Astyanax mexicanus: one gene and its partners. The protein of the gene in region 3 purifies or fractionates together with the protein of the main gene of each other region. This does not show direct contact. Links are inferred from orthologs where the notes say so. Each region holds a gene or a part of one and is shown on either strand. Other genes may lie near its edges.

Region 1 (7,685 bases), on a different chromosome or scaffold from region 3:
AAAGTTATATTCTTCTCACAGTTCTAAAAACAAGTGGGTTACATAGAAGCACATATGCTGTGAATTGCTAAGTATGTAAATTGCTAAGGTACAAACAAAGCAACCCATAGGCTTACAATATTGAGTATATCCTTAAGTAGCCAACATTCTATGTTTTTCTTGTATTTTGGTCTACATACAGTGTGTGTGTGTATTTGGATTTCAAAATGATCATCCTTACACATTCATTATGCAACTATGCATTCACTCTTAGAATTAAACAAGCCATTTCTTTTACCGTACATGAACAGTGTGTATGTGATCACCTGTGGTAGGCTGAACAGTCAGATAGGTAAATGAGAAGGTTCTCACCACAGAGAAACCATGAACTCAACATGTTTTTACTTCATGGAATGTATGAACTGTATAGTGAGAAGTATGCGTTTAAACCTTTAAATATTAAAGCAGAAGTATGAATCTAAACAACTTTGAATATGCTACACTGACTGTCTAGAAAGTAGAGATGTGAAGAGGAGTTCTATTCTTCTTATACCTCTAAAAACAACAGACTGCAAACTGCACATCTCACTGCAGAATCCACAAAACACTTTAGTCTTCTTATTAGCAAAAATAGAGAAAATTACTAAATGGTAGCAAGAGACAATTTTTGAGCATCATATCAAGTGTTTTCTTGTAGTGTCACCCAAAGACAAAAAAGGTAAAAAAAAAAGTCAGAGGTCAAACTTTGAATTGAAAGTTAAAATTTAACTATATATTTAACTATATATATAATTAAACTTATAATTTAATTGAGTGGACAACAAAATATAGCTAGTTCTTCCAGGACACTGTTCTACATTTAAATATGACTGCAACTATTGATTAGTCAACCTAATCTGATCACTACTTTTCCGATTAGTTAACGACTATTTTTGCAAAGTGATAGAAACAGCTAAACATGGGATTTAAAAGTCATTAAAATGTCCAGATCTTGTTTAAACAAGGAATTTGCTGATAATTACTGAGTAAATATGTAATCTGTTATATTTGGGAATGTTCGGAGACACAGACCAAGTTAAGTGTAAGTGTGTAAGTGAGCCCATTACCCATCTTGCATTGCGTTTCCAATGTATTCCAAATATTTCATGGTATTTATGCGATAATTATACTCTTGGCAATATGACAAAACACTGAATTAAACAAAAATATTTTAAGAATACACTAGTGCAACAAAATATTCCATACAATATGATATGATATTGCATACAATATGAAATGTTATGACTAAAATATTAAAAAATAGGAATTTTATCAGATTTGTAACAGAAGTAAATGATCTAGAATGTCATGATAATATTAATGCACTTCAAATATCTACATATATCCAGGACTAAAGTAAAATAAATGATACTGGACAGACATGATCTGTGTCAAGTAGATATATAATGTGAAATAAGAACTGTGCATTTTTCTTTTGCTACAAAATGCAAAACAAAGTAGTCGACCGATGTGATAATTAGGGGTGGATGATATAAGACTCGATATTTCAGGGTATAATATCGTTCACAATATTTAAAAATGTTGGCGATATTATTGTGAACCATACAATATGGCAAACCCCTAATGCAAAACCAAATATATTAATTCTTTTCCTGCGGGATTTTCTGTTCACAACAGGCCTTTACTGGTTACTTGAGCAACTGCAGTGGTGCTTATGGCACTGATACAAGAGCTGCACCATAGTGCACGTTTTGAATGTACTTAACTACATTCTATACATGCTGGCCAGGGCAGAGATATCTCTAAATGCCCCAAATTTAACCTACGTCCTGTCACTTTAGCATTTTATTCAGCGTATGTAGGTTATTGTTGAGAGGACATGTTTATCTCCACTGTTCACCTTAAAGAAAAGAAACTTCCCTGCCAAAAAAAAAAATCAAGCTCAAGACCAGCTAGCTGCTCAACCAGAAAAAAACACATACTCTACGCTGAGTGGCTAGTTCGTTATCTTGCTCTTTACCAGCACAGGGTATGTTTTATTTCTCTGGAAGACTAGCTGCATTAGCAAGGTTATGTTCACAAGACCTCCTGCCTATATGGACCTGACAGACTGAGATTTAGCTAGCTAACAACCCCAAGAAAACACCACACTTCACCTACAACAACAGGACTTATCCAGTGGCCAATCTCTTCCAAATAAGCATATAATGAAGCAAAAACGGACATTATCCACCGTTTCACAATCTGAGCCCAAATAAAGACCAATAAAAAGGAAGAAATTTATTTTTCTCTTTGTTTTCCACCCTTTCTCAGGAGCAGCCCGGACAACGCGCTGGGATTGGTCATTTGCTCGTGAGAGTGCACTACTAGCCAATCACAGAGTAATTGCGGACTGCTCATAGCCAATCACAACGAAAGAAGGGCGGGACTTGTCAGAAAACAGGTGGGAAATGAGAAGCGGGCACTGGTTTGCGAGTCTCCTTCTGCTATGGCAACCGAATAGCTAGTTACCATTAGGCAGGTGTGTGACACACACAGACACACACACGACGACCAGCTCACTGTAAAGAATAAAACACAACAAATTACAACACAATACCCAAACCTAGGACTGCTGGGGATTCTGAGTAATAAAAAGAGAATATTTAGAGGAAAGCACTCCTCCTCAGCTCCACAGTAACAGAGATCTGTCTACAGATACACAGAGCCTGAACACAAGAACCCGTGATCAACACATTCCCCTTCAGGAGCGATTAAAAACGCGAACACTTAACTTACTCCAAAGACATCAAGCTGTTCCCCAACTTCTCAGCCTCGCATCGTGACCCACACGGCGCTAATTCATGGTTATAGAGGAGTCCGTGGTCAGTCCGGGTCTGCACCTCTCCTCCTGAAGTCGGAGCTGAATAAACCTCTCTACTGTGTGAGTGAGTGAGTGTTCAGTAAAATAAGACGGTGTATGAGAGCGTGGCGCTCTCTGAGAGAGGTGAGGCGTGAATGAGCTCCTCTCCGTTAGGTTTCAGAGCTCTTCGCCTCACCTCTCCACAGACCGAGACTCTAGCGCCCTCTAGAGGCGGACACCAGCCCTACAACCCAAAATTACCCACAGCATGAACAGAAGAAAAGGGCAGCCATTCCGCCTTGTCTGTCCCCAGGAAATTACATGTATAAATGTGCACATAAAATAACTTTAAAATAACTTTTATTACCAAGCATACTGTCTTGTATATTGACCTAACTGCAAAAATAAGACATGTAATTAAAAAAAATAATGTCCCCTTTCTAACTGTAAACTTTAGCATGAAATGATAAAATCCTTCAGAGATGTATTTTTTTTGCATTGTTGTGACTCCAAATCCCATCTATGCTTTAAAATAGATTTTGCATAACAAATTCATAATATTTAAGTTAAAATACACACACATTAAAAAATAATACAATACACATTAAAAACAATAACACACATTAAGTTTTACTAAATCCTGTTACTGTAACACATTACCCCATCTAAACATCTGGAACATTCTACAGGTCACATGTACAACAGGAAGTTACATCAGTAGGTTCTTCTGAAGAGCATAAAATCATAGAAAATCTAAATAAAAAACAAAAGGACCAAAATTAAGTTCCCTCATTTGTTTTATGTATAGTTCATCTTATTGTAACTATGTCCTGTTACCTAAATTAATTCTTAGATTTTATTTGTTTATTTTTAAAATACATTTTGGGAAATCACTACAATGTCCTCATGCTATTAACATAGCCACCATTTATCTATTTTTAGATATGTTTTAGCTAATTCTATGATAACAACTCCTGTTACTTTAAGTCCTGTTACTCAAAACATAGAAAGAAACAGGAATGAGTATTTTTTGTCATAAATATAAATTATTTAAACAAGCAGCCAACCATTTCTTTAGATTAAAGACTTTCTTGAGATAAAATCAAAGGAATTAGTGGACTTGCTTTTAAACATGCTTTTTTTTTTAAATGTCAAATGAGTTTTGTAAACATCTTCGGCTTGAAAATATACAGGGGTTGGACAATGAAACTGAAACACCTGGTCCACAATAATTTATTGTCCCGACGGACAGTTCTGGTGGAAACAGGAGAGTTGAGGTGCACACTCAATTCTGCCGTGATTTGGGAAGCCGTGGTTTTATGTTTTTTGGATACAATCCGGACTGTCACATCCCTTTCAGACAGCTTCCTCTTGCATCCACAGTTAATCCTGTTGGATGTGGTTCGCCCCTCTTGGTGGTTTGCTGACATTATCCTGGATACCGTGGCTTTTGATACATCATAAAGACTTGGTCTATCTTGGTCACAGATGCGCCAGCAAGACGTGCACCAACAATTTGTCCTCTCTTAAATTTTGGTATGTCACCCATAATGTTTTGTGCATTGCAATATTTTAAGCAAAACTCTGCTATTACCCTGCTAATTGAACTTTTACACCCTGGTGCAATGTGCAATTAAAAAAAGATTGGCCAATTTAGCCATGAAACCTCCCACCCTAAAATGGCAGATGTTTCAGTTTCATTGTCCAACCCCTGTATGTTTTTTTAAAAGGTATTTAAAAAATAAGTTTAATTTTAAAATAGTTACAATAAGCAAATGGCTCTCATACAAACACTATGTAACTTTACATTAAGATTGATTCTAAATGTGCATTTTTATTGCACAAACTTCTTAATGTAAAATGCTTTTGTACGTTTTATACAGTTTTCTTTGATGTCGGGTGGGGGGTTGCCTGGTTAACTCATTTAAATGGTTAAATAACATATTTTTCTTTGTATTATTATTATTATTATTATTATTATCATTGCTGTATTGTCATTGTTTTCTACCCATCCCTTCCATCCATCCATGGTTTTCAATGTATTTTAGGTATTTCAGTTATTCATATATCCACACTCAGCCCCGGTTCTAGACTGCTTTGCTTTGGGGGGCAGAAGTACATATTGGGTGGGCATGTTCATAGTCATATTTTTTAATGCTAATAATACTGGCTAACATTGATGTATGAAGTACAGAAATAAAAATGTTGCAGGTGTCTTCAAACTTAGACGTAAATATACTTTGCTTATGTAAATTAAAGTTTTTCTAATTGTGATTGATTTCAATTAAATTAAATGGTTAGAATTATACTGATATAACAACTCTGTTATGTGAAAAAAAAGAGTATCTAGACCTAAGCTGAGAATATAATATTCAAAAATGGAAATAGGAATCAGTGAGGATACAAATATGTTTTGTAAAAACAGTTGGTCATTTAGAAAAACAAAATAAAACTTATTATATTCAATATGTTTCGTGGGATATTCTTAACAGAAATTTAAATTTTTTACAGGTTTCTACAGTATAAATCTCATTTTTATATTGAAACAGAGGAGAAAGTTATGAAAATACCAAAAAAAATCATCAAGACATCTACTGTACTTTAATTGAAAATCTGGTTAAGGATTGTAGGAATTTCATGTGGATGTAATGAAATATGCACTGGTACAATCTAGTTTTTTATACATTTGTACAGTAAAGCAAATAATCTAAAGATTATAAGCACACGTTAATAAACAGTTACCTTATTCTCAATTAACTACTATACACATATACAAAGTGACAAATGGTTAACATTTCTGCCTTGAAAGGCATGTAACCAACAAACAAACTATATAACTATAACTATAACTATATATTTGGTTGCCTGTATTCTAAAAAGAACTCAGAACAAAGAAAACAAGGAAAGGCTTCTTTATAGGCCTGAAGATTGTTACACACAGTCCTGTATTTAACTGTCAAGTTGCATGTAACCAACAAACAAACTATATACAACCATTAAATCTCTATATGCAAACTATGGATATGAATATCTCAAATCTTTAGCTGGTTCAGAGATTGTTCAGATATAATTGTGGTCAATGCCCTGCATAGGAGTAAATTCAAGTCAACTCTCAGCCTGACTAGTGAATCTGACTTCTGTTTCCTGAAGGCCAATTTTTTTAACAGAAGTGAGTAAAGGATGCAAAGGATGCATAGAAATTTGAATGCCTTCCATAGAATCATGTTCATAACAAAATTACAAAGTATCACAGAAATATAAATATAAAGATAACAGTCCTGGGGTGAGTTTCCCGAAACCTTCGCAACGCTAAGAACTTCGTTAACTCATAAAGAACTTCTTAAAGGGCATTCTGCTCGTAGTTCAGCACCTTAAACATCAGGGAATACCAATTTTGAGGGAGAAAAAAATATTATTTCCGTGGTTGAATCAATTATATTATATTATATTATATTGCCAACTTTGTCTGTGGTTTGTAGTCTAACTGGCCATATTGGAATTGACCAATCAAACCCACAAATAAATCATTAAAATCCAGATTAGCGATGGTTCTTGACATTACTGCTGCAAGGAATGCAATCAATAAATTCCTGCAGATGATGCTCAAGGTTTAAGCAAAGCTGCAAAATCTACAAATCCGTGGATTCTGTAATCAGGCTGTTACTGTGGAATACACGCACCAATTCACAATTCCCACCAGTTCAGGAATTACAGCACCACACTATGTTTTTCCATGCTATTGGGAAAATTCCTGCTATTGTAGGTCTAGTGGAGGGGACGCCCGTGGTGTATTTTATCCCACCTACACGTACTGTAAAGGGTATCGGTGAATGTGCAGGTAATATTTAATAATATTTCATAATCAGGTGCTTCTTCATCTGAGCAAATTCTGGGGTGTGTCAACTTACAAATATATAAGTACCAGTCAAAAGTTTGTACACGTCTCATTCAATGTTTTTTCTTTCTTTTTTTTATTTAATTCATTTTCTACATTGTAGATTAATATTAAAACCATGAAAACTATTAATTGATGCATATGGAATTATCTAGTAAACAAAAAGGTACATTGCCTTCACAATCCCCTAACCTTAACCCAACTGAGATGATGATTTGCAAGGAGCTGGAGCTGGAGGAAAAGCAGTAACTATTCTTTAGCACCTCCAGGAATTACTTCCTTTAAGAAGCTGAGAAAACTATTCCAGGTGACTCTTCCTCCTGAAGATACTGAGATTAAAATATCAAGAGTGTTCAGATCTGTCCTCAAAGATAAATGTATAAACTTAAAACACTCTGGTTGTTTTAAAAAATATATATGCTGCTGCTGCGCCTCACTGGTACTGACCCTGTTTACGTTGACTACTCCTGTATGCTCTATAACTTTTAATTAAGTTGTTTTATCGTATCCGCACCAGTCTGGTTCTTGTCTGGCCCTGACAAGATACACAGCCATTATGACAGAGACTGTGGATACGGAGTCTATTAAGTCTGGTTTGGCTAACCAGGGCCGGCTTCTCGGTCATCACCAGCAAACGCTCTCTGGTGTGACCCAGGCCGTTGACGAGCTAGTACGCCAGCAAACTAGCCAGCAGCAGCAGCAATCCGAGACCATTGGTCATCTCCGGGGTTCATCTACCCAAAACTCCCAGCCCGGTAGTTAACCCTGTTACCACCCTTCTTCCACTCCACACGCTAACGTGGTATGTACCGAACATAGAGTTAAATGTTTCAATTTAACTGTAATTATCACCACTCCAACAGATGCGTTCTGTGTCTCAGCGCTTGTAGATTCCGGGTCGGAGGGGAACTTTATCAGCACAGACCTGGTCGAGGAGCACGCTGTTCCCACTCAAGAACACCCACGACC
Region 2 (6,975 bases), on a different chromosome or scaffold from region 3:
CCAACCCCTATAAAGGCGGAGTTCCCCCGAGAATGACAAACACCAGCTTGTCAGCCTAATGATAATGAGACCTGATTGGCTCTGTCTGACGTTCCGCCCTCAGAGATCTCGGAGAAGAGGGGCTCATTAGAGGCTGACTGGAAAATCAATCACTCCCTCATTACCTTAAGTGACACCTAGGAGCTGCGGAATAGTACCATCATATGAAATCTGTTTCCTGAGAGAAAAGCTACCCTGAAAGCAGCTTGACCTAGCCGGGTCCTCAAGTCCTTGAGTCCTCGAGTCCTAACAAAGCTTCAAGCCAGAAAAGCGACAGTCTTTAAAAGCTGACGCTTCTAAACAGTCTGGAACGGACTCGAGCAGAACAGTCTTAGCACAAGAATTCATCGCAATCTAATCCCACTACATCTGTTACCTTAATCTCCAAAGCACTTTCTGTTCTAACAGTATGCACACTTCTCAGCCCGAGCTACTGCTGGCAGTAGTCTAGCCTCGCTCATTAGGCTCTCATCCTCAGAGGCTTCCGCTGCATATTTGTCTTCCGTCAGCGTAGACGTGTGAGCAGCTGCTTTAATCATCAGATAAACTGACGAGATGTTAATCAGATTGTTCTAAACAGCACCAATTGCTATAGTCGGGTAGAGCAAAACCCATTAGCAAAGTCCTAAAAGACGTGACGAGCAGTCAGATTGGCAATCACGGCCACTGCAGGACTCCTTACTTACTTACTCTAATAAGATCCTTGCTGGGAGCTTTGCTCCAAGACAAAGGTTTCCCAACGCTGCTATGTTAAAGTGTAAAAGTTTAACAGCTGCGATATAAGTAGTAGTGTCTTTTCAGTGCAGCTCCAAAGAGGTCCGGTAAGTGCAATAGGTCAAATGCACCAGTGGTTACAAGGACATGGCACAGAGTATGAATCACTGGCGTAGTTCTACTGTGCGAGCTGTACCGCACTTGCACGTACACCATCCACACTATCCACTCAGGAAAAAAAGGACAGGTGCATTTGCAATCAAACTGCATTCAAATGTTTGTTTGCAATCCAACGTTTGCAACAAACAAGCTCTCGGTGTTGTGACCAACGCTTCATGGCACACGTGGAGCACAGTGTTCGGGAAGAAACAGTGCAAAGGGAGTAGAAAACCCAACGAGAACTTTACAAAGAACATTTATTTAGTAACAGTACAGCGAACCGAGCCTCGGATGGAGTCAAACCAAGGCAGCTCAGATGTAGCACCTGTTCGTCAAGAGTATGGCAGAATCCCTGTTGGAATAGGACAGTCTGTTCCAGGATTGAACGAATGAGCCGCTGCCATTTGACTGTAGACACGATGTACTGTCAATCCCAGTGTAGGACGCTGGAAAATAAGAGGTAACAAGTGTCTGTAGAAAGTATGCAAGTGAAAAACTTTTCCAGAATTACACGAAAGACGTAAAAGACGAGGACGGAAACTTCTGCAGGACACTCACGATTACGGCTTACAGGTCCGCTTCAGGTGATGTTAGTTGGTTAATTGATTAATCGGTTAATCATCAGCCAGGTTTTAGTTAGTCTTAAGGAATTAGTGCAGATGAAAAATTGCACAGTATGGCTGGCCATCCCTTGGTGGAGGCAAAACCTGAGTTACTACCACACAATTTTACTCAAACACACAAAACACACAACTTTACATGTACATGTACACGCAAACGGTAATACACAATATATATATATTTTTTTTTTCACACGTACATGTCAAAGAACCTGAATGCGACAATATGAGACAAAGTAGTGCACTACTTTTTACTTTCTGTGACGAAACAAGATTAGACGCTTAGATTAGTTTATGAGAAAGTAAACCAGTGTAAATCCTGAATGATTGAATGATGACTTGTCGATTTAGTCCTTTAGTCATTGCCAGTGATGCAACATGATCTAGCAAACTGTACAGATTGTACTGAAAAAGTACACACAAACATTAGACAAGAGTGAGACAAGAGAAGAGAGAAATAGAAGAAAAAGAGCACCAAGAATCCTGGCTTAGCTTGCTCGAAGGAACAGATCTTACCCAAGTCGCGCGAGCTTGAGCGACCTCGAAAGTTCGCTTCACGGCAAGATACGAAACAAAGAAGAAGAACTTCGCGGTAGCCAGGTTGTTGCCATGGCAATAGACTGGAGAGCAGAATCCTGCCAGACAAAATCTTTGACGGAAACCCAAACAAAAGGCGAGCCCACCAACACAAAACCTGTCCTCTCTCTCTCTTTACTGTTGGCCAATCGAAGCAGACTTTGGAGAGGGACTCTGACTCCGGCTGCAGAATAAAGAAGGCTCGGCGGGAGTCCTGCGGGGGATCAATAGTCTGATGAACACGCTGCCATGAGACAGCAAAGTTTGGCTGTCGTCTCCACGGCCATAAAGCTAATCAATGCTGACATCTCCACGCAGAGTGCATCAGATAGCATCGCTGTCCAAGGCTGGCTCTTACACAAAGCACCGTCAGCCAGCGCACCAGTCCGGAGGAAATCAAGTATTGCTCAAGGCTACGCTTCCGGACAAAAAACAGAACATTTACAAAAAGGACTGCCTGCCAAGAGCACTCGACCTACTGGAGTTTCCAAAGAGAAAAGAGAAAGTCTCTTTGCCAATCGAGTTCATTAACTTAACGCACAAAGTTTTGCATACAAGGAACCTGATTATTGACTGCATATATACGATTGAGTGTTTAAGTAACCAGTAGGCTATGCATACACACTCTCACACTCTCACACTCACACACTCACACATACACTACAGAAAAGAAAATGTAATCTAAAGTAAACAATTTTTGACATCTGGATTTTCGCTCCTGCTGCGAAAGGTTCAATCTTTCAGTCTGTCAATCAAAAAGAATCAAATATAAAAAGCTTGCATGATTATCTTCAGCAACGTGTCGGGAACAAATATCGTCCACGTTCATGTTCCTATCCTTCAATGGTGCAGTTTTTTGTCAGTGGTCATATTTGTCGTCTTGCTCCATCTTTCTCTCTCTATCTCTCTTCATCTACCTTTCCCTTGTTCTCTCGTTCGCTCAGTCAGTCTCCTCCCTCAGAGAGGAACAACGTGGTCTTGCTTTCATTCATTGACTTGCTTCCTCTCGTTACCGGAAAATAAATAAATAAATTACAAAGTCATAGCCGGGCTCTGCTTCCTCTCTCGTCCGCACGCGGATCCCGTCCTTCCCTCTCTCCTCTCCTGAAGACTGGAACGAAGGATCGGCCGGGCGATCTGCCTTTGTTCTCTTCTCCGTCCCCCGCGCTCTCTCTCATCCTCCTCTTTTTCCCACCTCCGTCTGCATTTGGGGAGTGAGCGCTGCAGCCAACTGTCCTCTGCTCTCTTCGCCTCCTTGTCTAGCGCCCTCTCTCTCTCTTTCTCTTTTTCCCTCGCTCCCTCTCTCTCTCTCTCTCTCCCTGTGCACGTTCAGACGTTGATGGTGCTGCTGATTCCTGTTTCCACCTCCCTGCCTCTGCTGCTCCCCCTCCCTCGCTCCCTCCCTCGCTGGCTGGCTGTCTCCTCGCAGGCATCAGTCATTCATGCATTTACGCATTTATGTTGGGGCTGAACTATGCAGGAGAATTATGCATCAACTATTAATTGCTAAAGGTAAAAATGAGTTAATAGCACAGCTGTTTCTATCAAATTATAAAAGAGTACCCTGCTGTACCTAGCATGTACATTAACAGTACGTTAGCTGGGGATGCACTGATGTGTGATATATTGTGGGTTGATGCTAATTTCTGATATTGCGTAACATTAATAAACATGGAATAAAACATGGAAATTAGCATTAGCTTTAGGGATGCAAATAACTATTTTATTAGTCGAATTTTAGACTAATCAACTTTCAGTAAGTTGATTAATCACGATTATTATCTTGCTCTCCATTTGTGCTTTCTATTGATGAGGCTCTAGATTCAGTGCATGTTTTACTGCATTTTCACATCTTAAATTTTAGAGCCTTAGACTTTTTTAGATTTTGCAGTACATTTTTATATAAAACTACAAACCATATATAGGAGAAATTCGCAAATGGCAGATGTAACAGATGTAACTCTTTTAAAATATCTTCAAATGAGATGTAAATATTGATAGAATGTATATATATTACTTTGGATCTGACCCATGTTGTGATCAAAAGACAGTTTGCATTTTATTTGAGTAATTTTTGTGAAAATTGGACTGAGAGGGAAATGTACAAAAACTCAATGTTTTTTTTATTCATGAAAATTCATCTATTATATATATATATATATATATACACACACACATTGGAATTAGAATAATAACATTAACATTAGAATAATAAGAGACACACTTGGAGGAGTTGCAGTTACTGTATGTGTGTTAAAGGGACACGAGCAAGCTTAGCTATGTACTTTGTTTTATATTGGTTGTCAATATTGGTTATGTGATATTGGGGCCAATAAATTTATAGTTACTGTGAGTATTTGCTAATTTAATGTATCGTGAGATACCCTACGATTCCCACTCCTGGTAGTTATTTCAGTTGCGTATTTGAGTTGTGGGTTTAGATAAGGGGAAATGTTTAATGCGTCACTGGATATTTTGAACCACTCTTTATTTTACTGAATTGGAAAAAAGAGTGTTTTTTGTAAAAACTGAAAGTAGACGGATGCTGCCGCTGATGACTGAATGGAAGGACTGAACTGACGGATGCTGGGGAAGCAGGTGAACCACCCTCCACTGGTAACCAAAGAGCTGTAGGGACAGAGGAAGGCTTGTATGGGATGAGTTAATTCCTCTTTCCTTCCTCTAATTTTTGCATTTCCTTCTTTCTGTTTCTTTCCTCTAACCTGCTGTGACCTCCTCTTCCGGCACACAGACAGAACAATTCCAAGGAAACAATTCCAAGGTTAAACGGTGGATATGTTCCCCCACACCGTCGTGGAGCTCCTACAGGAACAGGCAGGCGGCGCTGGGATGATAACGGCTGCACGCGCCGGCCGTTAGATTCTCCAGACGCCGGCGGCAGTCCGCTCAGATAAGTGACCTGAATATCGGAAGCAGTGACAACAAAGCTGCTGCAAACTACAATTCCCAGAGTGCACTAGGGGAGAGTAGTTTTTTTCCAGGGAGGATGGGGGAACGTGCACATGACTGCCGGCTGGGGGAACAGGGACATCATGTCAGGTTTCATTCGAGTGTGTTACCCGGTCACTGAGGAGCGCTGAAACGTCAGTCAGGAGCGCCGAGAGAAAAAAAGAGAAAAAACTGAGAGACTAAACGCAGCTGTATCACCGTCTGCAGCAAGAGAGAGAGAGAGAGAGACAGGGAAAGAGAGAGAAAAAAAAGAGAAAGGGACAAACAGAGAAAGAGAGAAAAACAGAGAAAGAGACATAGCGACAAAAGAGACAGAGAGAGAGAAAGAAAGAGAGAGAATGAGAGAAAGAGAGAGACAGAGTAAATAATAATAAGTTCTGTTGTTGTAATTGTATGTATGTAATCTTTATTTTAATTCATTATTATTAATTATGTTTTTGTTTGTTTGTTTTTCTGTTTTATGCTTTGGCAATAGTGTTGATTGTTACATTCATGCCAATAAAGCAATGCTGAACTGAACTGAACAGAGAAGAGAAAAAAGAGACACAAAGAGAAAGAGAGACAGAGAAAAAAAAAGACGGAGAGAGAGAGACCATGAGAGAGACAGGGAGACAGAAAGAGAGAGAGAGAAAGAGAGAGATACCAAAAGAGAAAGAGACAGAAAGACAGATAGAGAGACAAAGAGAGAAAGAGAGAGAGAGAGAGAGGGAGAGAGAGAGAGAGAAAAAAACACTATCGTTTATTAGCTTTAGAGAAACGATAACATTCAAGACACAATGTATGGATGCACTGACTATTTGGCAACCAAAATTATTCAGCCATAAAAGCCAAAAAAAAAAAAAAAAAGACTAAATATCTCGTACAGAAAAATGACTCATTAATATAAAATCACATTTAAGTGTTTCCTTTCTTCAGCCACACACTCCACAAATGGCAAGTTTAAGTTCATTTTTACGCTCTTCTAAAAACAAAGCATTCAGCATGGCTTCTCACAATCTGTATTAGCTTACTATCCTTTCACAAACTTTACTATCTGCACAAACTGTTTGAAAGTAAAGATTCGAGGTAAAAGGGCAGGTGTGAAAAAAGTGCAACTCACTTACAAACCCTTTAAAGGAGCACTGAAGCTGAGGAACAGTGCAATCAATGATGTTTCATGCAAGAAACATGACAATTATATTCTTCAGCTGCCTGAATTCACTTTTTAAAAAGTTACCAGATGTGTGAACCATGGTTGAGAGACTTGATGAAGGATGTAGTTGGGATAGATTTCCACTGAAAAGAATAAAAATTCTGCTGCATGAATTGTAGCTCCCAGAACAAAAAAATAAATAAATAAAAAATAAAAATGCAGAACAGTCCGTCATTTTCTTGTTGAAAAATGCCTTCAGTCTTCAGCCTTCGTTTTGATGACATTCTTTAAACAAAAGTTTTTTTTTTGTTTTAAAACTGATATGAAAGAATAAACGAAAGAAAGAAAGAACAAGTATCAAGCAAAGTTTCTGTCCAAATCTGAACAAGATCAGAGGAACCCACACCAAAGCAGAAGACCATCCCGTCAAACCACAGTCAGACAAGAGTTCAGACCGAAAACCAGAGGAGCTACAAAAGCAGAAGATCAGAAAGAATAAAAAACGAGAGGGGTACTGAGGATACGCACGGATGCATCCATGTGGCGACGCTTCAGACGACTCGCCCTCCACCCGGTGGTGCATGCAGGAGTGTTAGTCTGGGCATGGAGGCTGATGTTTACTGTGGTGTAATCTAATAGCGCTCAGGCCACGGCGCGTACGCAACGGCTCAACTAACCCAACTCTAACAGGAAGTGACTCAGAGGAGCTGAGAGCCACACTTTATGATAAATTGCAGTCCACCACGACCTACATTCTCAGCTCCC
Region 3 (7,532 bases):
AAAATAGAGCCAGTGGTGCCATTTAAAAAAAACATCAAAAACTATAAGTACGTATGATTTTAATTCAATCACCCACTGCCAGCAACCCTGACTAACAATGTAATGAACTATAAAGAACCCTAAAACTTTTGAGTGTTTTATAACTTAATAACTCAAAAGTCTATAATGTGGCATACTGTGATGTAATTTTACCAAAAACAATACATATCTTCAACCCTGCTCTTGTACTTTTGCACAATTCAGCATAACAATCACAGATTCATTGTTAATAGTGGTATTGAAAGGCACCAGACATAAGACCAATTCTGTGGTTAACGTTATCACAATAACTGGATAAAATACATATCCTGAAGTAAGACACGTTTTTCTGACAGCCAAATTAAACTACCATTATACAACCAACACCACCTTACAACTCACACTACCACACAACATCAAAACAACCTATACGAAACTATTACTCCATAGTTATCAAAGAAACAGCTATAATGCAAAATCCAAAATGGTATATTTCAATACAAAATAATAATATGCATACTGTTGCAAATCAGTGCTACAAAAAAAAACACCCATCACTAATAATAGGAAAACATGAATTCCTCTCTAATATAAGTTGATTGAACACCATACCAATATTATGGCGTATGCCAGTGATCGGTGTATATAATTTACATTGCTTATTACCAACATACCACAACACAACATACAGCCTGTCACTGTTTTTCCCTTTTTGATTGCCAACTGTATTTTACATTATGCCCAGACCAATACAAATATGTCAGAAAGACAGGCAGTGCTTTTGCTGGACAGTGACATTATGCAGATTTTGCATTGTCTCCTATCCAGAATTGTTAAAATGGACATACTTTTAAATGAGAATCTAAAGATGTCATCCAGCAAGGCTGACAAATATCATACAGCTTAAAAAAAAACAAGATTTAAGCGTGTATTAGCTACTCATATATTGCAAACAATAGAATTTTAATGTTGTTTTATATTTAAGTGATTAAAAGTGTGATGAAATACTGCATGTCGGCATGGTTTGCCACCCCTTTTAAGTTAAGTTGTTGAATAGGCTGTTCTGACTGAATTTGAATTTACTCCAGAAGTGTAGGCCAGTCTTCTACAATGGATCACTTTAAGGCAGCTATAATACAGTGCATTATTAGTATCATGACATGTTGGATCATTTACTTCTGTTACAATCAGGTGGAAATCTCTAACAGGGGTTGGCATATCATATTACATGCAATTATATGAAAAATACATTTACTGCAATAGTATGATCAGTATATTCTTGAAAATATTTTATTAAATTTTTGTCATGTCGCCAAGAATATCGTTATTGCAAAATACCATAAAATATTGTGATATTATTTTAGTGCCTTATTGACCACCTCTAATGCCTTTAGTAGGGGTGGGTGATATGAGTCTAAAATAATATCACGATATTTCAGGGTATTTTTGCGAAAACGATATTCTTGGCGATATAGGAAAACAAAAAAAATTCATTCATTTCAGGAATATAGTATAATAGTATAACAGTATAATCATAATGTGGCAAAATAAATAATACAGCATAAAATAATATAATGCAGCAAATAATATTGCAGAATATTTTGTGCATGCATATAAATTGCAAACTAAAACAATTATACAATAAATACACCTAAAGCTTCACAGTGAATAATAGACTACTTTTAAGACAGAACAGCCCTATTATCACGATATTTACGATTTTTAATATCATGATATTTCTGTGTCACGATATATTGTATACGATATAATATTGACCACCTCTAATGCCTTTAGACAAAGAAAATACATATAGTCATTCACTTACTATTTTTCCACCCATGGCACCGGTTTCTGTCTCTTCTCTCCACTGCTCCCAGCTGTGGCCTTATCCCTCTGTGGTTTAACACTCTGTGTAGATCCTTTCAGAAAAGCCTGCATGTTTCCTACCCTGTAAAAGTAGCAGACACACACACACACTTGTATGATTGGTCATACAACACTGACAGATGTTTTAAAGTTTCAGCAGTAGTAATGCAGCTGTTACTGTACTGAGGCTCAGCTCTACAGGTTAGTATGCTAACAGCTAGGATAACTACTATACTAGCAGCAGCAGCAGAATCAACACAGCCCTGATTCTCTCACTCTTCAGTCTCTAACTCAGTTTATAAGAGAATATAAAGGCAGCACAGGCCTCAGGTTTATATAAAATATTAGTAAGCATGCACAACAACCAGAAGCGCGTCCACACAACCCAGTATTTACCTGCTTATAAAGGTTTATAAAGTGTTTACTCTCCGAACTGAAACACAAGCAGCGCCAGTTTCCCGCCAGGCGCGCACACGATGACAGCGTCACTACGTCACTCCGGCGCCGACGTGTTCACGCGCCCACTTTTTAATATTTATTATATTTAATATTTATTAAGATTTTTTTTAATATTATTAAGGAAACTAATGATACTATAGCAAATAAATATGGAAAAACAGAAACAAAAAGAAGAAAATAAAAACATTATAAATCGGTTGTTTATGGCTGCAAAGCTGCACTGTTTTTGTGTTTAATATAAAATTCATTTTATTTTTTAAATCAAATTATATATTTTTACATTAAGAATCAAAATATGTATTCAAATTTTAAGTATTGCATGCATACGGAAAAATCCACTTTTTTCATATTTTCAGCATACGTTAGTGATGCAAATGTAAACACTGATATAAAAAAAATATTTTATGGTCTTTCAAAAAATAAATTCTTTTTTTAGAGAACCTAATGTATTCCATATTCCCCCCAACATTAATACTGTCCTTAAAAATACTGTATAAAACGTCAAAATCTATGTATCGTATTACAAATTGTTGGTAAAAAAAATTACCAGTACATAATACTGTTATGTTCAGATGTACTGATATAATGATATAACTATAGTAATATAATTCTAATCATAATGTAAGTAATAATTATGATTGTTAATGATAGTAACAATAACAAGATAGTAAGAATAACTAAGCAAATAAAAAAAATCGTAAGAAATGAAGGTCATTCAATTTGACAAATTTCAGTAAAGTCGCACAGAAATCCCAATATAATTAGTAATGAATGATGGGCAGCATTTTAGACTTCAGAACGTTTTTAAAACATTATAATATTCATTGGACTTCAGACCCAGGCGCGTTATAATGATATTGACCCGCAGGTGACAGGAGAGCCCGGCACATCCCTCTACCTTCTACTGACAGCGGACTCGCTCTATTTCTCGGCAATTGACTTGTATAGTCTCTTATCCCTTCCTACTCGACCATCAATTGGTTGTGCCTGCGACCTCTTCAGCGTAGTGATCGCATTGGGTTTATTGGCTGAAGAGAGCGGCAAGAGGGAACTGATTCCTCTGTTTTTTGGGGGCATTCTGAAATCCTCAGTTTTTTTGACGCTTTATCTATCGATCTGAGCGAGAAACAGCGCGTTAAATAGCTCAGAAAGCTTTGTTATTGTCCCTCCAGCCCAGCGGAGAGAGAGAGTCTCTGTCCCCCACTGCGCATGATCCACATCTGCAGCCGAGTCACAACAACCGCCCAAAATAAAGCGAACGGCTCGCTTTAAACCTGTAAAAACTCCTCTTTACTAACTGCACCATCCTCCATACATCCTGCACTCTCTCCAGCGCCCGCCTGCGCTGTCACCAGCTCAATCTGCCGTCTCTGAACTAGAGCACCACGGCGAAATTAATGGTTAGCCACCCTCCCGTAGATCCGGTGTTCTGTCCATTTAGGTTACCTTGTCACGGCGAGCTACCTTAGTATTTATGTATAGGTAGACATGCCTTAATAAAACATTAGGGAAGATAATTCGATAGTCTGATATCATTAGCTTTTATCAAAAAATGCCCCCGGCAAAAGTGTAGGTATATGGGACACATTTGGCTTTATTGAATTAGGGCTGAAAGATATGATAAAACTATTTAAAGACAGTTTTAACAATACTCGATTTATACACAAATTATCATGACACGACATTTGAACGCAGTTAAAAGGCAGCACTGAGGATGTCTTTAATATGCTAAAAAAAGTATATTCCTTTGGACTAAAAAGCACATCTCTTTTATATATATATTATTTTTTATTGTAGTTTATTTTGCTTAGTAATAGTATTATTTCTTTTTAATCATTGTTGTTTTTATTATTATATTATTGACATAGTTTTGATACTTTTGTGTTTAGGGAAACGTTTTTTTTACTATTATTTATGCTGATTATATGTTTGTATTGACTAAATTCTGCAATAAAAAATATGAAGCATATTGTCAAAAAAAAAGTATAACCTACTGTTGATATGAAACCGTATCAGGATACAATACAAAATCAGAATACTGCCCACCTTTAATCTAAATCAAAATATATGTTTGGTTAAAAGTTAAATATAAGATAATGTATGTGTTATTCATTATAATTTTGTTTATATTAATCCACATTTATTAACATTTATTAAACAACAACTATATAGCGAGAAAATAGTAATAACAACAGTAGTTCGGCGCATGCGCAGTGCCCCAAAGCACCACATATCGGTGGGTAGCGCAACCCGACAGAACACCGGCTAGCTAAAATGGACGAATGTGTTCCGAGGAGCTGGAGCCGCTTTTGTCCTAAACTGTACCGAAAAGGGGAGAGTTAAACTCGGGCTTTTTTTCACTGTGGTGACACATTTCAGTTTTGAATCCGCATTAGTTAGCTGTTTGTAAGCGAATCCCTGTTTGGTTTAGCTTAGCTTAGCCTAGCTTAGCACAGCGAACCGTTTATTATTATTATTGTTAGCTTAGCCGAGCTAGCACCAGCCCGTTTCTACGGCGTCTGGGAGTGCAGGGAACCGATACAGGGGCAGCTCCAGCTGTTTGGCTGCGTGTTTCTTCGCTGGAGTTGCTGTTTTTAAAGCCTCGGGCTGCGGCTTGGGGCGTTTATAGAGCTGTTAAAGCCACTCAGGCACGTTTTCGTCTTGTTTTTGGTGACTCCAGACAGCTCAGCGCTTCGCCACAACGATGCGATGGTCGCATTAGGTCGCTGCTATTTCCACTCGGTCCGCTCGACCAGGCTCCTTCCCGGCCGCGGGCCTGTGTATGGCCCCGCGCCTGCCTTTCTGGTGTGACACACGGCTCACCGGCCAGGGCTTCAGCAGGACGGACCCGGACCCTGACCGGCGGCCCTGAAGCTCCACCGAAGTCATGCAAGGGACACAGTTCCAGTACGATTTCTTCAGCGAGGAGAACGCGCCTAAATGGAGGGGGCTGCTGGTACCGTCGCTGAACAAGGTGAGCTTTTGCACAGCTGGATTTCTGGACCATGTAACTAGTTATCTGTTGACTTTCTGTAGAGTAGCTAGGTTAACTAGCTAGATCAACGTGGTCAACGCAGACACAGCTTTGTAGGCTTTTTGCTAAGTGTTCTCCTAGACCACTGGTTCCCAAGCTTGGTCCTGGCTGGAGGACCCCCTGCCCCATGTTTCTGTGTTTACATTGCGCGTGTTGGGTTTACATGGGAGGAATGTGGGCTAGGTGGGTTCCAAGTCACAAAGCAGATTTAAAGGAATCAGTACATGACACATTACATACATAAACAATACATTAAACGTTAGCTTAATAACCAAAAACAACAGTGACGAGGGAAAATCCTTCAAATATGGAGGAAGAAACGTTGGGACTGAAAGACCCCCTGCCCCATGTTTTAGTGTTTACATTGCTCATGTTGGGTTTACATGGGTGGAATGTGGGCATAGACACTGTAGTCAAATGTATTTGTGTAGCACTTTTCACAGCTGACCTCGTCACGAAGCAGATTTACAGAAATCCAGTAATAAAAAAGACAAGAGATCATCAGTACATAAAATATTCACATAATACCCCATTGAGCAAGCCAAAGAAAACAGTAGCAAGGGCAAACTCCTTCAAATCTGGAAAAAGAAACTTCGGAGAAACTAAAGACTGGAAGACCCCCTGCCCCATGTTTCAGTTTTTACATTGCTCATGTTTTGTTTACTTGGGTGGAATGTGGGCTAGATGGGTTCCAAATGGGTACAGACACTGTAGTCGAGTGTATTTGTATAGCACTTTCTACAATTGGCATGGTCACAAAGGAGATTTTCAGGAATCAATGCACACCACATTACATACATAAACAATATGTAAAGCATTAATTTCAAGGATTCAGTGAGACTTAATTGTCATTCTCATCACATGTGGGACGTGAGATGGAACAAAATTGTATAAAATTGTATAACTTAATCGCATGACACAACAGTGAAATCTAGAGGAAGAAACCTTGGAAGGAGCTAAGACTGGAAGACCCCCTGCCCCATGTTTTAGGGTTTACATTGCTCATATTGGGTTTACATGGGTGGTATGTGGGCATAGGCACTGTAGTCACATGTATTTGTATGGTACTTTTCACAACTGACATTGTCACAAAGCAGATTTACAAGAATCCAGTAACAAATGGGACAATAGAGATAATCAATGCATTAAATATTAACATAATACCTCTTATTGGGCAAGTCAAAGAAAACAGTAGAAAGAGAATAGAAAAGTGGGAGGAGCTATGACTGGAAGACCACCTGCCCCATGTTTTAGTGTTTACGTTGCCAATGTTGGGTTTACATGGGAGGAATGGGGGCTAGGTGGTTTCCAAGTGGGCATAGACACTGTAGTCAAATTTATTTGAATAGCACACAGCTGACATTGTCACAAAGCACATTTACAGGAATCCAGTAATAAACAGGACAAGAGATCATCAATACATAAAATATTAAACTAATACCTCCATTGGGCAAGCCAAAGAAAACAATAGCAAGGGCAAACTCCTTCAAATGTCAAGGAAGAAACTTTGGGGGTAATTAGACACATCCTCATCCGTTTGCACTACTAAAGATTGTTGATTCAAAAAGGGTAACAGTATCACCCTATAAGTCTGATTATCTGTGTGTGCTAATATAATATAATCATAGTCGCTACAGAAGGTAACACAGACATAAGAGCACCCGAGAACACTGGTATTCCTCACCTGCATCATCCACAAACTTGATTTATTGTGTGCAAGTGGCAGAATGATTGCACCAGTGTCTCAGTTTCTCTGGACAGCTGTGAAACACACTTTCTGGACTTTTAGCTGCTGTTCACCTGTAGAGTAGATGTATGTCAACACAAACAAAGCTTAATAGACCTCTTACTTAGGTGTCTTCTAGATCAGATCAGCTCATTACCCCAGCAAAATGTCAATGTGGGTCTCACATGAGTGGATCAAGGGCTAGGTGGGTTCCAGTTGGGCTCCAGGTGAGCCTGAGCACTGAGTGGGTTTGTACATGAGTTGTTACTAGTACCCAGTTGGGCTTCTTGAAAAGACCCCATCCCACAATAGCCATTTTTATGGACAGTATATTGTTGCTGTACAATGAAAAACAAGTATCTCCAAAACAGCAACTTTACCGGAGAGAGAAAAAACATACTTCAATTTCAATGGAAGTCAATGGAAAAA
Region 4 (7,316 bases), on a different chromosome or scaffold from region 3:
TAAAAAATATTGCATGGGGCACTGTGGTGCCCAGAGAAATTGAACAACACTTTTGTCCAATAAATGTCCCTCAGCTCTGGAGCACCTGTGTGTTAACCTGCATTTAGAATAATGGTTTGAAACGATTGTGTTGTATCCCATTCAGTGTGCACCCGCCTTCAATCAACACAACCCATAATTTTATCCCAAACACTGGCTGACCTTTTAAAACCAACCTTTACAGGCACATATATTTACATGCAGGAGGGCCGTTAATGATGTGTGAGGTGTGTTTTATGCACACATTCACTCCTTTGTGTTTATGGTAGAAACAACATGCACTCAACTCCTCCAGCCGACACACTCAATCAGATAAAATAGACACAGACCACGTTTACACAGCAGGTATTAAGGGTCCCAAAAACACACTGAATCTGATTTTCTCAATTCCAAATTGGGCCACTTTAATATGTGGTATTAAAATTCGACCAACATTTGTCCAATTTGTGATAATGTGACTTAAATCATCAAACTTTTCAGTTTCTGAATCAGTTTCTCTGATTTTGCTATTTATAGGTTTATGTTTGAGTAAAATGAACATTGTTGTTTTATTCTATAAACTACAGACAACATTTCTCCCAAATTCCAAATAAAAATATTCTCATTTAGAGCATTTATTTACAGAAAATGAGAAATGACTGAAATAACAAAAAAGATGCAGATCTTTCAGACCTCAAAGTTTTAAGAGTTCAGAAATAATCAATATTTGGTGGAATAATCCTGGTTTTTAATCACAGTTTTTTTTTCATGCATCTTGGCATCATGTTCTCTTCCACCAGTCTTACACACTGCTTTTGGATAACTTTATGCTGCTTTACTCCTGGTGTAAAAATTCAAGCAGTTCAGTTTGGTGGTTTGATGGCTTGTGATCATCCATCTTCCTCTTGAATATAAAGTTGGATATAAATCACATTAAAAAGATAAATAATCATCAGATTTGGTGAGAAAATCAGATTTGGGTCATTTTTCTACCTGCTACCCACACTTCTACACTGATCACATTTAATATTTAAAACCCTTTAAATTTCTTTAACCACCACACTGCCGTTAGTCCGTGCTGTTCTCACACGATGCACAGGCAGCCCTGATTTCAATTAACAGACACACACCAACCCCTGGCAACAGTTAGCGTTAAGCTAATCGTTACAGTATACGTTAAAATAAGCTTCATTATGCTGCCTACGCCTACCATCCCAGCTGTCACCACCGCCTGAGAAGGGAAGAAGTGAGAGTTACGGCACAGAAAATAACCTTAATTTACTAAATTACATAAAATACATAAAAAAATATATTTCTTTAATCATGACAGTAATAACATATGCTTTGTTTCTAAAGCACTTTTTAAGAGTTGAAAATAAAAATGTAAAAAAATAATAATAATAACGTAAAATAAATAAAATAACTAAAGTAATAACACAGTGAAACCTGTAAACAAACAGTGTGGTTGCACGTTTCAGTTTTTAAGAACAATGAAAACATTTTTAACTGTCCAATGGTTTAATATGGTTAGCGGCTAATGCTAATGCTGCTGCACCCAGCCTTAGTGCTGGAGAAACTTTACTGAAAACTCACCCTTAAACAAAATATTGGAATTCTTAGCTTACTGTAAATAAATTTACTCACCCAAATAAACAGCTTTCGGAAGAGAAACATGTTTGACTTTAAAACTAAATATATATATATTTTTTGTTTTTTTAAGAATCATAGTTTTGTTTACTTGCTCACTTCAATGTAAGCATCCTTACTAGTGTCTCTTAATGCGCCTTACAATCTGGTGGTCCCTATACTCCGAAAAATATGGTAATATCTAACCCAGCCTCACTGAACCCTCTCTAAAAACGAACCCACCTTCCGTCTCCATGTCTTGACCTTTGGGAGCTTCTCCGATGTCGATGGTGAACATGACGATTTTGGGGGTCATGGTGGACATCTTGTTACTGAAGCAGAACTTGTAGGTTCCGTCCATATGAGCCGCCACAGAGTACTTCCCACTGGACTCACGGTCTCCTTTATATATCTGCTTTCCATCAGGTCCAGTTATCTGGAGATGATTTTAGATTAATTATTTAGAGAGGTAAACATGCACAAGTTTTAGGGGTTAATTTTTCTTTTATGATATAAAATGTAGATATAATACAAACATCTAAAATTATAGTACACATTTTACAGCACACCTTTACTCTACCTCTTACACCTGCACTTGCCCTCCACCTTTCCTCACCTCCACCCTCCATCACCTCAGATTCACCTTCTCTCTTCCTCATCTCCACCTTCAACTTCTGCACATCCACCCTCCCTCGGTCATCTTTCAATTTCTCTCACCTCACTTAGCTCCACTTCTTTCACCCCTACCTGTTCTTACCTCCACTCTTTCTTACCTACAACCGTCTCTCGCTTACACCTACACCATACCTAAACAAGACCTCCCTCACCTTTGACTCCTACACCTCCACCTGCCCTCACCTTTAACTCCTCCACCCTCTCCCACCTCTACCTGCCAAAAAATACCTCCTTTACCATTAAGTCCTACACCTCCACCTGCCCTCATCTTTAACTCCTCCACCCTCTCCCACCTCTACCTGCCAAACAAGACCTCCTTCACCTTTAACTCCTACACCTCCACCTGCCCTCACCTTTAACTCCTACACCTCCACCTACCCTCACCTTTAACTCCTACACCTCCACCTGCCCTCACCTTTAACTCCTCCACCCTCTCCCACCTCTACCTGCCAAAAAAAACCTCCTTTACCATTAAGTCCTACACCTCCACCTGCCCTCACCTTTAACTCCTACACCTCCACCTGCCTAAACAAGACCTACCTTACCTTTGACTCCAACACCTCCTCCACCTCCCTCCCTTTACCTCCACCTGTTTCACCTTTACCTGCCCCCCTCTCTCACCTCCACGTCTATATCCAGGAATCCTCCCTCCGCCACCTCGAACATCAGGCCCATCTTGGTACCGGAGTTCACGCGCTCATAGAAACACTCCTCCGCGTGCGCGTCCACACTAACAAAGTACCCGGATGCCGAGGCGGCGAGCGCGGCCAGCAGCAGCAGCAGCGCGAGCTCCGGGCCCGGGGACATCCTCCAGCGGGGACCGGGAACCGGGAACAGGGGGAACTAGGACTGGGGAACTGGTTTAGCCGGGCTGGATCAGCACAGAGCTGCAGCCGGACTGCCACGTACAGCCTTCTGACCGAGAGCGGGGAGGGACAAACAGAGCGGCGTAGAAACGCGAAGCTAAAATAACACAGTTCGTCGGTCGGTAATACAAACCTAATTAATACCGATATCTGATATAAACTACAACAGCACATTCAGAGAAAAACTAAATGAATCTTAACTTTTAATAAAAAAAATAATAAAATGATTTTAATGTAATAATAAACATTTAATAAACACTCAATAAATTGTTTCCTCCAACGATTTAATAAATTGTTGACTTAGGTTAATGAATTATTCCTATAATTACTAATCATATATTTTTTCTCTCAGCTAATAAGTTGTTTCATTAGTTTAATAAATATTTTTCTTTATACTGTATAATAAACAATTATCTCATTTTAAAACGTAAGTCATTCCTTCAGTTTAATTAAGTGTTCCCCAATTTTATTAAATTGTTCCTTCAGTTTAATAACTTAATCCTGCAGACAAATTAATTTTTCTCTCATCTTAAAACTTTGTTCTGTGAATTTAAGGAATTATCCATCAGTTTATAAATAATTCCCTCAGAAATAATCCCTCAATATAATAAAGTATTGTCTTAATTTAATACATAAATAATTTCTTCAATTTAATATACCCTTAATAATATGTTTCCTAGGTTTAATGAACATTTTCTCAATTTAACCAGTTATTCCCATTATTTAATACATAATTCCCTTAATTGAAGTTAACAAGCTGTTTTCTTCGTTTAATTAAATGTTCCCTTAATTTAATAAATCAATCATACATTCATTAGTTTAAATTCTTTAGATATATGTTTTTCTACCTCGTTATTATTAGTATTATTTCTAATCTATCTCAGTGTTATATCTTAATGTTTTTTATTTTACAATTCGTGTATGTCTTATGAGTCTTATTTGTATTTAAAATATAGATGCAATACAAATAAATACCTTCATATTTTGCATGCTGTAATTAAGTGTGCTGCCTGCATTATCCCAAATTGCGTGCTAATCACTATCACTATGTAGTCAGTAGGGGAGGAGTGTGCGGTCTGTGATTTGGGACGGAGCCCCGCCGTGTGTTTGCACCGCTAGAGGCCGCCGCCGCTGAGCGCGGGCAGTCCAGCCGAGCCGCCGTGTCGCATGTTCGGTGACGTTCTCCAACTCGACTGGAAAGGTCTCCGATGCCGAGGCCTAGCGAGCTCTGTAGCCGCTCCTCTGATCCGGTTCCAGCAGATGAACACGGTGCCGAACCCGTCCTGAGCGGGCCCGGTTCTACACGGCGCGGTCGGCCCGGAGAGTGAAGTGACTGGAAGCGGAGCGGAGCGGCGGAACCGAGGCTGGGGAAGATGACATCCCGGAGGTGAGGCTGAGGAGAGGAAAAACAAACTAGTGTCAGATGTTTCTGAACCGGGGAGAGAGCTGGGAGTTCGGACAAGGGTTCTGAGGACGTGTTTGGATCAGAACCAAAGTCCAAAAATGGAAAAGTTTCAATTGGTGCGGAGAGGAAGCTGGGAAACCGCTTCAAACTTGGTTTGTGTGCTCGATTACTTAGTTTTAGCTGATCCAGGTCTGGAAAGTGAGAACCCGCTCCGGGATTTCGGTTCAGCTGCTTAGGCTGCTCTGCTGCAGCAAAGAGACTGATTTATTGAATTATGAGAATGAGTTATTAAATTATGGGAATTCTTTAATAAATTGTTGGTATGATTTAATAAATGATGAGAATGATGAGTGATTTATTAAATTATGGGAATTATTTATTCAATTATGGTAACGGTTCATTAAACTTGGGAAACATATTGTTAAGAGCTTATTAAATTGAAGAAATTATTTAACCATTTATTAAATTAAGTTGTTTATTAAATTCAGGGATTATTTCTTAAACGTAGGTGATTATTTCTTAAAATTACGGAACAATTTATCAAGACGAGAAAAAAATGTATTTGCCTGATGGATTCATTTATTATTTGAAAAAAACAATTTACGTTTTGAAAGAATGATTTGTTAAATAGAGGAAATTATTTATAAAACTGATGAAACAACTTGTTAGATGAGAGAAAAAATAGCTTTAAAAAAGAAATAATGATTATTTAATATTATTATTTTTTCAATAGAGTGAGGACTAATGGACTAATTTATTAAACTATGAGATTAATTCGTTAAACTAATTGGTCAATTATTTAAATTAAGGCAATAGTTTGTTAATTTGAGGAAACAATTGAGCTGCAGGCGAGCCGCCAAATCCCGGAGCGGATTCTCATTTTTCGGACCTGGATTAGGCACCGGACTGGATCCCTACTTTCTACAACTATTTAGTTAGCAGTGCAGTGCGCTAAAGCTAAACAGCTAATTGTAGCTAAGCGAAAAAGGCTAACTAAGCTAATGTTCAAAAATTAAACATTATATTTCATACACAATCTAAACAAACATTTAAACACAGAAAGCAGCCAATAAAGCAATGAAACACCGCGTTTTTGTCGTTTTTACCACAGCTTCTGTGCTCAGGGACACGTCACAGCTAGTGCTAACTACACAGCTAACAAGCTAACTAGCTAACTGGCTAACGACTGAACGCTATCACGTTTCTACGACTTTTTAAAGCTTTAAACATTTTCAAAACGTTGTTAAAACTTGCTCACTGCCTCCTATAATTGCGATATATCGCTAGCTAACGTTGTCAAAACGTTCTGAGAAGAAATGAGTTAGCTGAGAAGTTGGCTAGCTGCATTTCAATGTTGTGACAACGTTTTAGGCATCAAAACACTAGCGTTAGGTTGGCACGACGTTGCACACTTTCTTGCAGTTGTGTTGAAAGGTCGAGACAACGTTAAGTACTTTTCTACTCGTTTGATGCGATGTTTCAGACTCTGAACTGAAAAGGCTTCATTTTGTTGACTAACGTTAAAGTTTTCAGGCCTTTATAAAACTACCAACGTTCTTACGACGTTTAAAAAAAAGGTGGTGCTGTTTGTGTTGTCATTGAAAGTTAGGAAGATAACTGACGTTAACCTACTGACAAGTAGTTAGGTGCATATAAATGTTGTGACAACATTGTGTGCACCAAAACAAAAGATTGACACAACGTTGCACACTTTTTTGCTGTTGTGTTGAATGGTTGAGGCAACGTTGTAAACGTTGTTTCAGAAGCTTCAGGTTCAGGCCTTTTTAAAACTTTCTTACAACATTGTCAAAAGGTGGTGCTGATGTGTTGGTTGTCAGAAAGTTTGTCACAACGTTGTTATAAAGAGTACTAGATTGCTGTTAGAGAGACGGCTAATGTTGTCGGAACGTTCTGAAAAGAAATTAGCTGCATATCGTTGTTGTGACAATGTTTTGTGCACGTCTTTTTATGCAACTTTCCAACTTTGCTTCAATGTTTGTGGTCTCAAAAACAGTGTGGCAATGTTGTCTAAAGGTGGTGTTAAAAATGTTGTAGCAATGTTTTCTACTTTCCTACAACTTTGGTGGTGGTGTGGGAAGTTGGTGTTGTTTACATTGTCTCAGACAATATTCTCACAACATTGTCTACTTTTTTACAAGTTTGCTACAATGTTGTGAGCAGCTGGTGGTGTTTATGTTGTCTCAACCAACATCGTCACAACGTTGTGTACTGTCTTGCAATGTTGCTACATTACTGTAGTCCAAGAGAGGTGTTGTTTACATTGTAACATCAAAAATGTTGCCATAATGTTGCCAATTCTTGAATGTTGTAGATAATGTTGTTACAACTTTCAGAGGAATTGCATTTAAGCATTTCAGTGTTGAGAAAATGTTGTGTTGACACAACAAAGCCTACTTTCTTACAGTGGTGTGTGTGGGAAGATGATACTGTTTAACATGCAATGTTGTTAAAACCTTGTCTACTTTGCCATAACAATAGTTTGACACAACATTTGTATGACATTGTCCACGTGTCTTAATACTGTTTCTATTGCCTCAGACAATGTTGTCACAATGTTGCTTTTTTATAATGTTGTTACAACTTCGTCAAAAGGTGTCTGTTATCGCCGTCTTAAAAAATGTTGACACAACATTGTGTAATTTTTAAAAAATTTCAGTGCTGAAAAAAAAGTTGTGTTCACCAAAAAAAAATAGGTTGGCACAACA

Evidence for each region.
Region 1: the proteins of sos1 (region 3) and eps8a purify together in Homo sapiens (affinity purification with western blotting; 5 studies listed by BioGRID and IntAct, with this or other methods). This does not show direct contact. The link is inferred for Astyanax mexicanus from reciprocal best matches to the Homo sapiens genes SOS1 and EPS8.
Region 2: the proteins of sos1 (region 3) and shc1 purify together in Homo sapiens (affinity purification with western blotting; 14 studies listed by BioGRID and IntAct, with this or other methods). This does not show direct contact. The link is inferred for Astyanax mexicanus from reciprocal best matches to the Homo sapiens genes SOS1 and SHC1.
Region 4: the proteins of sos1 (region 3) and ptpn11a purify together in Homo sapiens (affinity purification with western blotting; 4 studies listed by BioGRID and IntAct, with this or other methods). This does not show direct contact. The link is inferred for Astyanax mexicanus from reciprocal best matches to the Homo sapiens genes SOS1 and PTPN11.

Annotation. Positions count from the first base shown.
Region 1 is NC_064409.1:30,838,552-30,846,236, reverse strand, and holds the start of eps8a (epidermal growth factor receptor kinase substrate 8a), read right to left. Parts: upstream 3,002-7,685; 5' UTR 2,758-3,001; intron 1-2,757. UniProt on the Homo sapiens protein: Signaling adapter that controls various cellular protrusions by regulating actin cytoskeleton dynamics and architecture. Depending on its association with other signal transducers, can regulate different processes.
Region 2 is NC_064413.1:2,311,899-2,318,873, forward strand, and holds the start of shc1 (SHC-transforming protein 1), read right to left. Parts: upstream 3,013-6,975; 5' UTR 1-3,012. UniProt on the Homo sapiens protein: Signaling adapter that couples activated growth factor receptors to signaling pathways. Participates in a signaling cascade initiated by activated KIT and KITLG/SCF.
Region 3 is NC_064423.1:31,884,115-31,891,646, forward strand, and holds the start of sos1 (son of sevenless homolog 1), read left to right. Parts: upstream 1-4,513; 5' UTR 4,514-5,230; coding exon 5,231-5,317; intron 5,318-7,532. Other genes in the region: rfc4 (replication factor C subunit 4), read right to left, coding at 1,844-1,956.
Region 4 is NC_064427.1:889,898-897,213, forward strand, and holds the start of ptpn11a (tyrosine-protein phosphatase non-receptor type 11), read left to right. Parts: upstream 1-4,306; 5' UTR 4,307-4,558; coding exon 4,559-4,572; intron 4,573-7,316. Other genes in the region: tmed2 (transmembrane emp24 domain-containing protein 2), read right to left, coding at 1,229-1,249, 1,888-2,080, 2,941-3,126. UniProt on the Homo sapiens protein: Acts downstream of various receptor and cytoplasmic protein tyrosine kinases to participate in the signal transduction from the cell surface to the nucleus. Positively regulates MAPK signal transduction pathway. Dephosphorylates GAB1, ARHGAP35 and EGFR.